Oryctolagus cuniculus: one gene and its partner. The protein of the gene in region 1 binds, or shares a complex with, the protein of each later gene. Links are inferred from orthologs where the notes say so. Each region holds a gene or a part of one and is shown on either strand. Other genes may lie near its edges.

Region 1 (5,109 bases):
CTAATTAAAAACAATTGAGAATTTTAAAATTTATATTTAAAAAATTTTTCTGCATTGAAACACACAAGAAAATGACATGGCATCAGTATAGCATAACCTATGCGTAACAAAAATCACTACATGGGAGGAAGGGACACATGATGAAAAATGAGCCCTGGACGGCTATGGGCTGGCTTTATTTTCACTCGGGATGCAGACGGCAGATACAGGAAAGGCACAGTTGGCAGAGGGCAGGATGAAATGGACTCTCCATCGTCTCCTCTTTTTCAAGCCCCATCTGTGCTTCTTTACCAGATTTCTCTTGAATGATGCAAGCATAAAAGTCAGTGGAAAGTGACGGAACTTCAAATAATTCAGGCATGCATCAAGAATTTCTCAGAAAAACTTCTGGAAACACATCCCTCTCACTGCGTTTCATGCCCCACCCCAGAGAGTGGCTCTACTTGCCATCTCTTCGTCTTCAGCCAGGACCAGGTCATAGTCACTCAGTGCCACACAGAAGATGATGGCAGTCACTCCCTCGAAGCAGTGGATCCACTTCTTCCGTTCGGACCTCTGTCCTCCCACATCAAACATTCTGGAAGGGGAAACACAAGGAGCTGACGTGAATCACACATTCTGAAGGCCCAAGGAGCTCAGAGAGACCACAACAGAAGCTCCAAATAGTTAAATGGGAAGAAAGAAAAAAAAAAAAGGAGAAAGACTTTTTAGGAAGAAAACAATGTCACAGATTGGTTTTCTCAAGTGGGGAAATTTTTTGATTGAAGGGAGGATACCTCTAAACAAAACATCCTGGAAACACAAGACATTCATTAACATGAGAACATTAAAAGAACATGAAAGCATATGCAAATGAATGGACTGCACTGTGTGTAGACACAGAGGCATCACAAGAAGCCAGTGGGCATCGCAGACACCGAAGAGTGCACATTCAAAGTCAGGGAGCACTGCAGGCAGAGGAGGGGCTCCCCTCTTCCTATTATAAAACGCTTTCTCTCAGAGGACTTGGAGATAAAGGACAGCCCATTCCAGGTAAGAAAGTACAGGGCAACTAAATTACATCCACGTAGTGGCAAAGGGTTTTGTTACAAAAGGACAATTGTGGGGAGACTGCGTCGTGCCACAGTGGGTAAAGCCACCACTTGTGACACCAGCATCCCCATGAGAGCTCCAGTTTGAGTTCTGGCTGCTCCACTTCCCATCCAGCTCCCTGTGTCTGGGAAAGCAGAAGATGGCCCACGTATCTAGAGTCCTGACATCCATGTGGGAGACCTGGATGGAATTCCAGGCTCCTGACTTCAGGGTGGCCCAGCCCTGGTCATTATGGCCATTTGGGGAGTGACCCAGTAGATGGAAGACCTCTCTCTCTCTCTCTCTCTCTCTTCCTCTCTCTCTCTCTCTCTCTCATTCTCTTGCTGTAACTCTGCCTTTCAAATGAAGAATTAAATCTTAAAAAACACAAAAAAGTAAACCCATGGTGCAGAAAAAAATGGCATATTTGAAATATAAAGAAGTAAATATAAATAGCCTAGCAACTGAGAATGAAAAATTCAGTTTTTGTACAATATACAATAGTAAATCATTCTGTTAGTGAATGATGTAATAACACAATCATACAATATAAAAACAATGGTTTTTTTTTTCCTACAAGAGTTTATAAAGATAAGCAAAAGTTAAAATCCACAAAGATTATATTATGCAACCTAGAAATAATCGCTTATGTAAGAGAAGCACTATGCAAACTGGTACATTTTTAAAGGCTCCATTTATCTAGATGGTGCACTAATTAAAACAGTCCCTATTTAATTCCCAGGCAAAAAAGAATTTTCCCTATGGAGCACTATTGGCCTACAAACTGAATCTAGGCACATCAACTACTACTGTTACCTTTCCCATCATTTAAGTGGCCTTTATTTTAGCTTTGCCAGTACATTCAAGTATGCTATATTATTCTACTGCATGATAAGTAAAAATGGATAGCATACATAAAGGACAGTCAGTAACACAGACCAAAGAAGAAGAAAAGAAAATAAATTGATTTTAACTGGAAACCATTTATTAAATTGCTTAGGAACAAAACTTGGGGGAAAAAGTAACTTTACCAAAAAAAAAAAAAAAAAACCATATCTTAATCTTAGGAAACTTTTCCAACCAAATGTCATCTACTCTCTGTCTAGCCAATACAAAATAACAATCCCACCTGATCACTTGACATTTTCTCTGTGATGGTTGATTTTGTGTTGTCTTGGCTGGCTGACCACACCATTATTTAATCTCCAGGTACTGCCATGAAGGTATTTCATGAATGTGATTAACATTACAATAAGGGGTTAGCACTGTGGCGTGGTGGTTAGGGCTACAGCCTGCAGTGCCGGCATCCCAGATGGGCTCTGGTTTGAGACCTGGCTGCTCCACTTCTGATCCAGCTCTCTGCTATGGCCTGGGAAAGCAGTAGAAGATGGCCTAAGTCCTTGGGCCCCTACACCTACGTGGGAGACCTGGAAGAACCTCCTGGCTTCGGATTGGCACAGCTCCGGCCATTGTGGCCAACTGGGGAGTGAACCAGCGGATGGAAGACCTCTTTCTCTCTCTCTGCCTTTCCTCTCTCTCTGTGTAACTCTTTCAAGTAAATAAATAAATCTTTTAAAAAAATCTATAATAAGCCTACTTTAAGTCATGAGTTGGTCCTCAGTACCCGTGGATAGGCCACATGCCATCAGCTGAAGGGCCTTAAGAGCAAAACCTAAGGTTTCCACGGCAGAAACAAAATTCTTTCTAGCCCTGTAAAAGCACTCGTGTGTAAGGTGCCCAGCCTATCCTACAAACTAGGGCTTCCACAGTTACATGAGCCAATTCCTTGAAACAATCATAATTGACCAGTTCTGTTTCTCTGGAGAATGCAGAAAAACAAATGTGAGAGCCAAGAGAGAGGTGCTACTTTAACATATGCCTAAAAATGTGAAAGTGGCTTTGCAACTGGGTCATGGACAATAGCTGGAAGAATACTGAAGTACCTGGCAATTATTCTAAAGAGACAGTTGGTAGAACTGTGGACATTACAGGACATTCTGCTAAGAGCTCAGAAGGAAGAAGAGAGAAGAGAAGAAAAGCTACTGTCTTGGAGCACACAAGTATCATCACCAACAGTGTTGGGAGGTACGTGAATGTTACAGGTACTTTTAATGAGGTCTCAGATGTGAAAAACAAGTTGTTGCACCCTACAGAAAAGACAATCCTTGTTATAAAATGGCAAACAGCTGGCTGACTTGTGTTCTAGTATGGGGTGGAAGGGAGAATTTGTAAGTAATGAATTGGGTTGTGTGCATCTCATTGTAACTTTTTGTCTCATTTAACTTCTGAGAATAATTTCACTTATTGTTTGTATGATGGGTATTAAGTTCAAAATGAAGGAATTGTATATTATTATAATTTAAGAATTCATATTATCAGCTGTGACTTGGCATTTATGAGTAGGTTTTTTTTTCCAAAGAAAGCTTTTACTTAAGGAATACAAACTTCATGCATTTCATAAGTACAACTGTAGGAATATAGTGATTCTTCCCACCACACCCACCCTTCCACCCACATTCCCACCCCTCTTTTTCCTCCCTCTCCCATTCCCAGTCCCATTCTCCACTAAGATACATTTTCAGTTAACTTTATACACAGAAGACCAACTCTATACTAAAAGAGTTCAACAATTTTCATGAAAAAAAAAAAAAACTGTTTATGGGTAGTTTCTGTTTGGATTATTTAGTTTTAGTTAAAGAATCACAGTTTAACTTTACTGTTGCTGGATACAGAGATAAAACATTCTTTCTGATATGAAATTATTATAATACAGGAGAAAATTCCTTCTCTATAGTAGTATAATGCGAACACCATATGCAGTGCATGAGTTTAACATTCAGATATGGCTACCCGGCTTTGTACTAGTTGGTCTTGATCACAGTGGTGACAGATAACAGTCTAAGTTAGCATACCTTAGGATGTCCCTCACGGTCTACTGTAGCCTCTAAAATACCTTAGGGAAACTCACATTCATTCCTAATGGCGCTCATCAAAAGTGCCAGCTTTTCATATGAAGGAGAACATTCTATATTTTTGTTTATTAAAAAAAGGTTTGAAATTTTAAATACCAGTTGAAGTATGGAGGTGTTTCTAAGTCATATCTGGAAGAATAAGTGATGCTCTGTGCTTTATCTGCCTTGTCATTGAAAATGAAAGCAGCGATACCAATCGGTGTTTCTGCTAGTTATCTGAAGTTGCAGAGAAATCAATGCAAGGTTGGAACCACGCATTGGCAATGACAGTAATTTAGCAGAATTCAAATCCAAAATAAGAGAAAGTTTATCTGAAGTTGCAGAGAAATCTGTTTATCTTTAGTTTAGGAAATCAGAACAGTAACTACACCAGAGGCTTATAAAATTTGGCCTCACCCAGGAACCCAAACTGAACAAGATTAATGAACTTCCTGAAGCATCATGTTGAAAGTCGATGGAATCTCAGTATTTGCTTGATGGCAAAACTACAACTGTGAAAAGACAAGGATGGAAGTGAAAAGTAGGGTTTAGAGGCCGGTGCTATGGCATAGCAGGTAAAGCTGCTGCCAGGGCCAGCATCCCATATGGGTGCACGTTCAAGCTCCGGCTGCTCCACTTCCAATTCAGCTCTCTGTTACAGCCTGGGAAAGCAGTGAAAGATGGCCTGTCTGAAATCAGGAGTCTGGATCTCCATCCAGGTCTCCCACACGGGTGCAGAGGCCCAAGGACTTGGGCCATCTTCCACTGCTTTCCCAGGCCATAGCAGAAAGCTGGATTGGAAGTAGAGCAGCTGGGACTTGAACCGGCACCACATGGGATGCCAACACTGCAGGCAGCAGCTTTACCTGCCAACTGCTTGGGCCCGTGAACCCATGTGGGAGACCCAGAAGAAGCTCCTGGCTCCTGGATTCAGATTGGCACAGCTCCGGCCGTTGCAGCTGCTTGGGGAGTGAACCAGTGGATGGAAGACTTCTCTCTCTGCCTCTGCCTCTGTTTAACTCTGCCTTTCAAATAAAAAAATAAAAATAAATCTTAAAAAAAAAAAAGTATGGTCTGGAAGTAAATG
Region 2 (5,109 bases), on another chromosome or scaffold:
AATTGGAGTCACAGAAGAGAAAGAATTCTCAATTGCTGTCTCCTTGCCCCCCACCAACCAATAGATTAAAAGATTGGGTTGGACTGCCACTATGTGAAAGTGTGGTCTACATAGCACGATATAAAGAGAAGATAGCTTGTCGAATGCTTTCTATTTAAGGGTAGATCTTTCGTTAGGATATTTCCCTCTTCTTCAAGAGAGGAGATGGTCAAAGGGAGACCACATTTACTCATCTGTATGGGCATCAAAGCAAAATTCTGTTCTCAAGTTAAACATTATCTAACAGTCTTTGATTTTGTGGTGTAAAAGGCAGAGAATCCATCTAACACCCATTTGGAAAGACCACAAGGACACATTGGTCTGTCCTGCCTTGCTGCAGAGGGAGAAAAGTAACAGCTGAATAATCTTAATAGAACTAAGGCAGCCTTACGGCATGCTCGTTGGCACATTTTCCTCTTGAAAAAATTACACATGCTGAATTTTATTGTTTTGCTCAGTAAAGCCTATCAATCTTCATGAGCTTACAATTAAGAAAATATTATACTTGGCGGGACTCCCTGCTATTATCAGATACTTTGAAAAGAGATGGAAAAGTACAAGTTGTGTAACTGTTGTTACCAATTCTAGTTATTTGAAATGTTAACATAAGATCACAAGGACTCCTCGTGTTTTTGTGGGCATTTTAAAGGGCTTGACCAAAAATCGGCTGCAGACAATTTAATATCTTCAAATATTAAAAAGCACAGAGTAGTTAAGTGTATTTGTTTCACTCAAAGGTTTGCTTTACACAAGCCTGAGAAGCAGAAAACCTCACAGAAAACAGTAGGGAGTTAAGGTCTACCTCTCCATCTGCCAGCAGATGGCAGTGTTGAAGCATGGAACAAACTCATTTGGGTGATTTGTTTCATTACCAGCTAGGTTTTCCTTCTTTCCTTAGGTGTCTGAGCCGCTCCAGAATTCCTAATAGGATTGTCATCCATTTAACATTCTCCTTCTCCAGTTTTTACTTCCCCTTTTATAAGGGAACACCTTTTCCATTTGCAACTGTCTTTAGACCTTGACAAAATTATGCTGTTTTAGCTTGTTTCCATCCAAACACCTAGTTAGCTGTCCACTGAAGGAAAGCCAAAAACCTATTCCACTCCACAAACGTTTTGGAGAAATAGGCACTCAAAACTCCCAGACCTCCGGTGTCTGGCACACTTTCCTGTGTCTTCTAATTACTTCTCCAACGTGGAACTTTCCTAAGTCAAATAGCAACAAAGAATCCCCTCTCCTTTCAGATCCCTGGAACATCATCTGTAGTTCAGAGAAAATGGAAGCCCTTGCAGCCCGTTTCACAGTCTCGAGCGCCAGGACAGCAGACCAAGTCCCGGATTAGCGCTGTGGCTGCTGAAATAAAACAGATCCGAGCCAGAAGGAAAACAGCCCGGATGTTAATGGTCGTGCTTTTGGTGTTTGCAATTTGCTATCTACCAATTAGCATCCTAAATGTGCTAAAAAGGTAAAACTTATCTATTTGGAAATGAAGTGGTTTATCATTTCTCGGTCCATCATTAATAACTTTATTTCAAGCCAGGAGAAAATACACTTTTTGCCTAGATACCTTCTCAGGCCAGATGGCCCAGTTATGTTGTTAACAACAGGTGAGGTGAACAGCCTTTTTAAGTGCTCAGACATATGCTCTTGTCTATGCAGATTCTCTGTTGAATGGCAGACATAAAACAGATGTTCCTCCAAACTCTTGAAGCTAATTGCTAAGCCTTCCATGCAGTGAAAATTTTTATGCAAAGAAAAAAAGAAAAGAAAAACTGCTTTGCATCTTGGAGTTCTTTTTTTGATGAGAACAAATAGGATTTCCAAAACTTTGTCCTCAAAGTCATAGGCAATTGTGACAAAATTCTATCTAAAGATAAAGAGATAAGAATGTTTTGTTTTTAAGCTCTAAAGAAAAAAAAAGTAATCAAAGATAATGCTGTGTTTTGAATATATAAACAAAAAGAGAGAAAATCCATTTTCTCAAGTTACTGAATCAAGCTCAAGGTGAATATTAATAAAAATCATCACAAAATTTTTCAGTGAAGGAAAGTATGTAATACATTATGCTGCAGATGCAATTATTAAATTCAGATTATCAGACAATGACATGAACAGCAGATGCAGAGGCAGTGGTACACACAAAACTGCATGGCCAGCCAACTTTATTGGAAATTATCAAAACTGTTGTACAGGGATTGCTCCCAAGACAATACTAATTCTGTTTATTATGGGCTTCAAACTTAACCTGGACTTGCTCCTCTCAGTTTTCCCTGTTTTGGAGTCAATATCAGATTCCTCACAGCTGGGGACTCTAGAGAGAGGCAGCTTTGGCGAGAGTCAATATAAAGGTGGTATGACCAGCTGCAAAGATCTTCCATTCTCTTTGGCCCCTGTTTTTTGATTATTTAGTGGTTTTTTTTTTTTTCAGTAGAGAAGAATTGGAAAATGAACTTTTGTTCAGCAATATTACTTACTGCAGTCACAGTCTTAAAGGTATAAGATTTTTGGCAACTCAGATCCTTGAGATGTATATTGGCTCACAAGAAAATAAGTATCTTGCCCTTCATATATTTTCATATTCCCCCTCTTACTTTTTCTTGCTCACAAAAATCCCATGCAGATCAAATATGGTCCTTTTCTAGATTGTGTCTCCTGCCCTTACAAAAGAAGCTAGAAAACATGCTATGGGACCAGATGAGTTCTCTTTTTGTCGTTTACTGTTTTAAGTCAGTGTAAATTCAATTTTCATTTACTACTCTGCATTGCTCATTTGGAATTCCTGTATCTCAGCATTTGCACTTTGCTTTTACTGATTTCCGAATACCTACTCATATATAATATTTCTTTTAGACTTCTGACTTGAATATCCTCCTTTCCAAAGAAAATAAATAACTTTTAAGAAAATTTGTGTTAAATTTTAAATATTTTCAATCTAGTGAACATTCTGCTTGTTTCCACAAAATAAAAATTTTTTAAATAATCTTGAAAATTGTTTTTCAGTTTAACATATACATTTTTTTTAAAATTACTATGTCTAGGGTTGCCCTTACATAGTAAAGTTTTTTTTTTCTTCTTCACACACATAAGAAATTTCCTTGAAACTTGAATTTACCAAAAAACAGTAGTCAAAAGCAACTTCTTAAATCAGTTCTAGTTTTTCCAGGATTTCAAAGCTATTTTGGGGTAAAGGGTTATAACCTGATGGATTTCATTTGTCCATTCTGTCTTACAGTGTTTGTATTAAAAAAAAAAAAACAACTCTAGTTATCTGTAGAGCATTGCTTCATTTCAGAGATGCACTTTTATCAGATGCCTTCTTATCAAAAGAAAGCATTAAGATAGGACACAAAACATATAATCAATGATGAAGCCTCCAACAGGAAATCCCTTATAATCTTTGGCCTATAAACTTCCAGCTGTAAGTTATCTGCAATAGGTTAGTGAATAGAATTTGATATATAAAATATTCTAACTATGGAACAAAACTTAAGATAGCCCTTAAGGATGCCACAATAAAATATTTTGTGGCATTCAGTATATTGTACAAAAACTTAGAACTCATGAATTTTAGCAAATTATCTGAGTTATGCCTACTGAAAATAATAATTCTTTGGGTGTAAAGAGTTCCCAGAAGCCAAATTTCAACAAAGCCAGGAAGGTTGGAATTAAACATATAATATTTTGATCCCTGTGCAAATGAAACTAGGAAGAAGTACTTATAGAATGCATATTGTGAGTGCTCTTGAAATGATCCACATAATACTCATTGAACACGAGATTGTTTATGTTTAAGACACAAAATGGAATAAGGAAGATATGTATTCAACTTCTGTATTCTTGTCTACAAGAAGCACTGTATTTGCTCTTTGCCTGACGAAGTGATCCTTTTTCTCTAGCCTGACTGAGCTTTTGATTACTAATTGTGCCATGAAGGTTCTGTTTGGAAACAAACTCTGTTCCACACTGACCATCATGTGTTACACCAGCCCGTGGTTAGTACTGCAGGCTTGCTCACTTTGAATCTGACGGTTTAAAGGCACTTTCCACCCTCACACTGTATTTTCTGTTATTGTTTCTTTTCCTACAGAGTATTTGGGATGTTTACCCACACAGAAGACAGAGAGACTGTTTATGCCTGGTTTACATTTTCACATTGGCTTGTTTATGCCAACAGTGCTGCGAACCCAATTATTTATAATTTTCTTAGTGGTGAGTTTTCACTTATTTCTTCTATAAAACAGCTTTAACTAAGGGTGAGGGACAATGACCAGAAGATTGGAATACTCTTTTTTTTCTAAGATTTATTTATTTATTTATTTATTTGAAAGCCAAAGGTACAGAGAAAGAGAGAGACAGAGAGATTTTCTATCCTCTGGGTCACTACCCAGATGTCTTCAATGGCTGGGATTAACCAGATAAAGCCAGGAGCCAGGAGCTTCATCTGGGTCTCCCACACAGGTGGCAATGGCCCAAGCAGTTGGGCCATCTTCCACTGCCTTTCCTAGGCCATTAGCTTGAGATGGATTTGACATGGAGCATCTAGGACTCAAACCAGTTCCCATATAGGATACCTGCGATGGCTTAACCTGCTAGGCCACAACACCAGACACAGAATATTCTCAAAGCATATAAAAAACTTAGCTGATCTCTGAAATATTTTCTTTCTCTCACCTGGTATGTTTTTTTATTTTTCCATTTAGGAGAGGGAATATATATTATCTAACAATCAGAGAAAATTTTCTAAATGACCCCCCCCCCCCAATCTAAGATGACAAGTTATAATACTAGGAAAGTGAAGATTGTGAGAAACAGATAATGCAGAACCTTGAGTGTAAACTTTCAACCTATGATTCACAAAATATAAAATATTTTATCTGTTTTGCCATGTTGTATCAATCCTTTCCTAAAATGCACATACTAATTGACATTGAATTGGAATTTTTTCACTTTCATATATTTACTGTATTTACATTTCTCTTGTGGGTAACATCTCTTGTGTTTATCTTAAGATTTCTTGCTAATCACAAAATTGATTTTAAAAAAATCTCTAATCTATCTCTGTTTGTGTGA

What was found. Proteins that work in one complex are often made in the same cells at the same time.
Region 2: the proteins of GNAI1 (region 1) and HCRTR2 are in contact, whole or in part, in a cryo-EM structure (PDB 7SQO), measured with the Homo sapiens proteins. The link is inferred for Oryctolagus cuniculus from reciprocal best matches to the Homo sapiens genes GNAI1 and HCRTR2. Residues at the interface, in NP_002060.4 of Homo sapiens: Ala31, Arg32, Leu194, Phe336, Thr340, Asp341, Ile343, Ile344, Asn347, Leu348, Lys349, Asp350, Cys351, Gly352, Leu353, Phe354; in NP_001371201.1 of Homo sapiens: Thr89, Arg152, Ala155, Ile156, Pro159, Leu160, Met161, Phe162, Lys249, Gln254, Lys301, Thr302, Met305, Leu306, Ser368, Lys370.

Annotation. Positions count from the first base shown.
Region 1 is NC_091434.1:144,905,084-144,910,192, reverse strand, and holds part of GNAI1 (guanine nucleotide-binding protein G(i) subunit alpha-1), read right to left. Parts: intron 578-5,109; coding exon 448-577; intron 1-447. UniProt on the Homo sapiens protein: Guanine nucleotide-binding proteins (G proteins) function as transducers downstream of G protein-coupled receptors (GPCRs) in numerous signaling cascades.
Region 2 is NC_091436.1:114,250,700-114,255,808, reverse strand, and holds part of HCRTR2 (orexin receptor type 2), read left to right. Parts: intron 1-1,283; coding exon 1,284-1,504; intron 1,505-4,126; coding exon 4,127-4,248; intron 4,249-5,109. UniProt on the Homo sapiens protein: Nonselective, high-affinity receptor for both orexin-A and orexin-B neuropeptides. Triggers an increase in cytoplasmic Ca(2+) levels in response to orexin-A binding.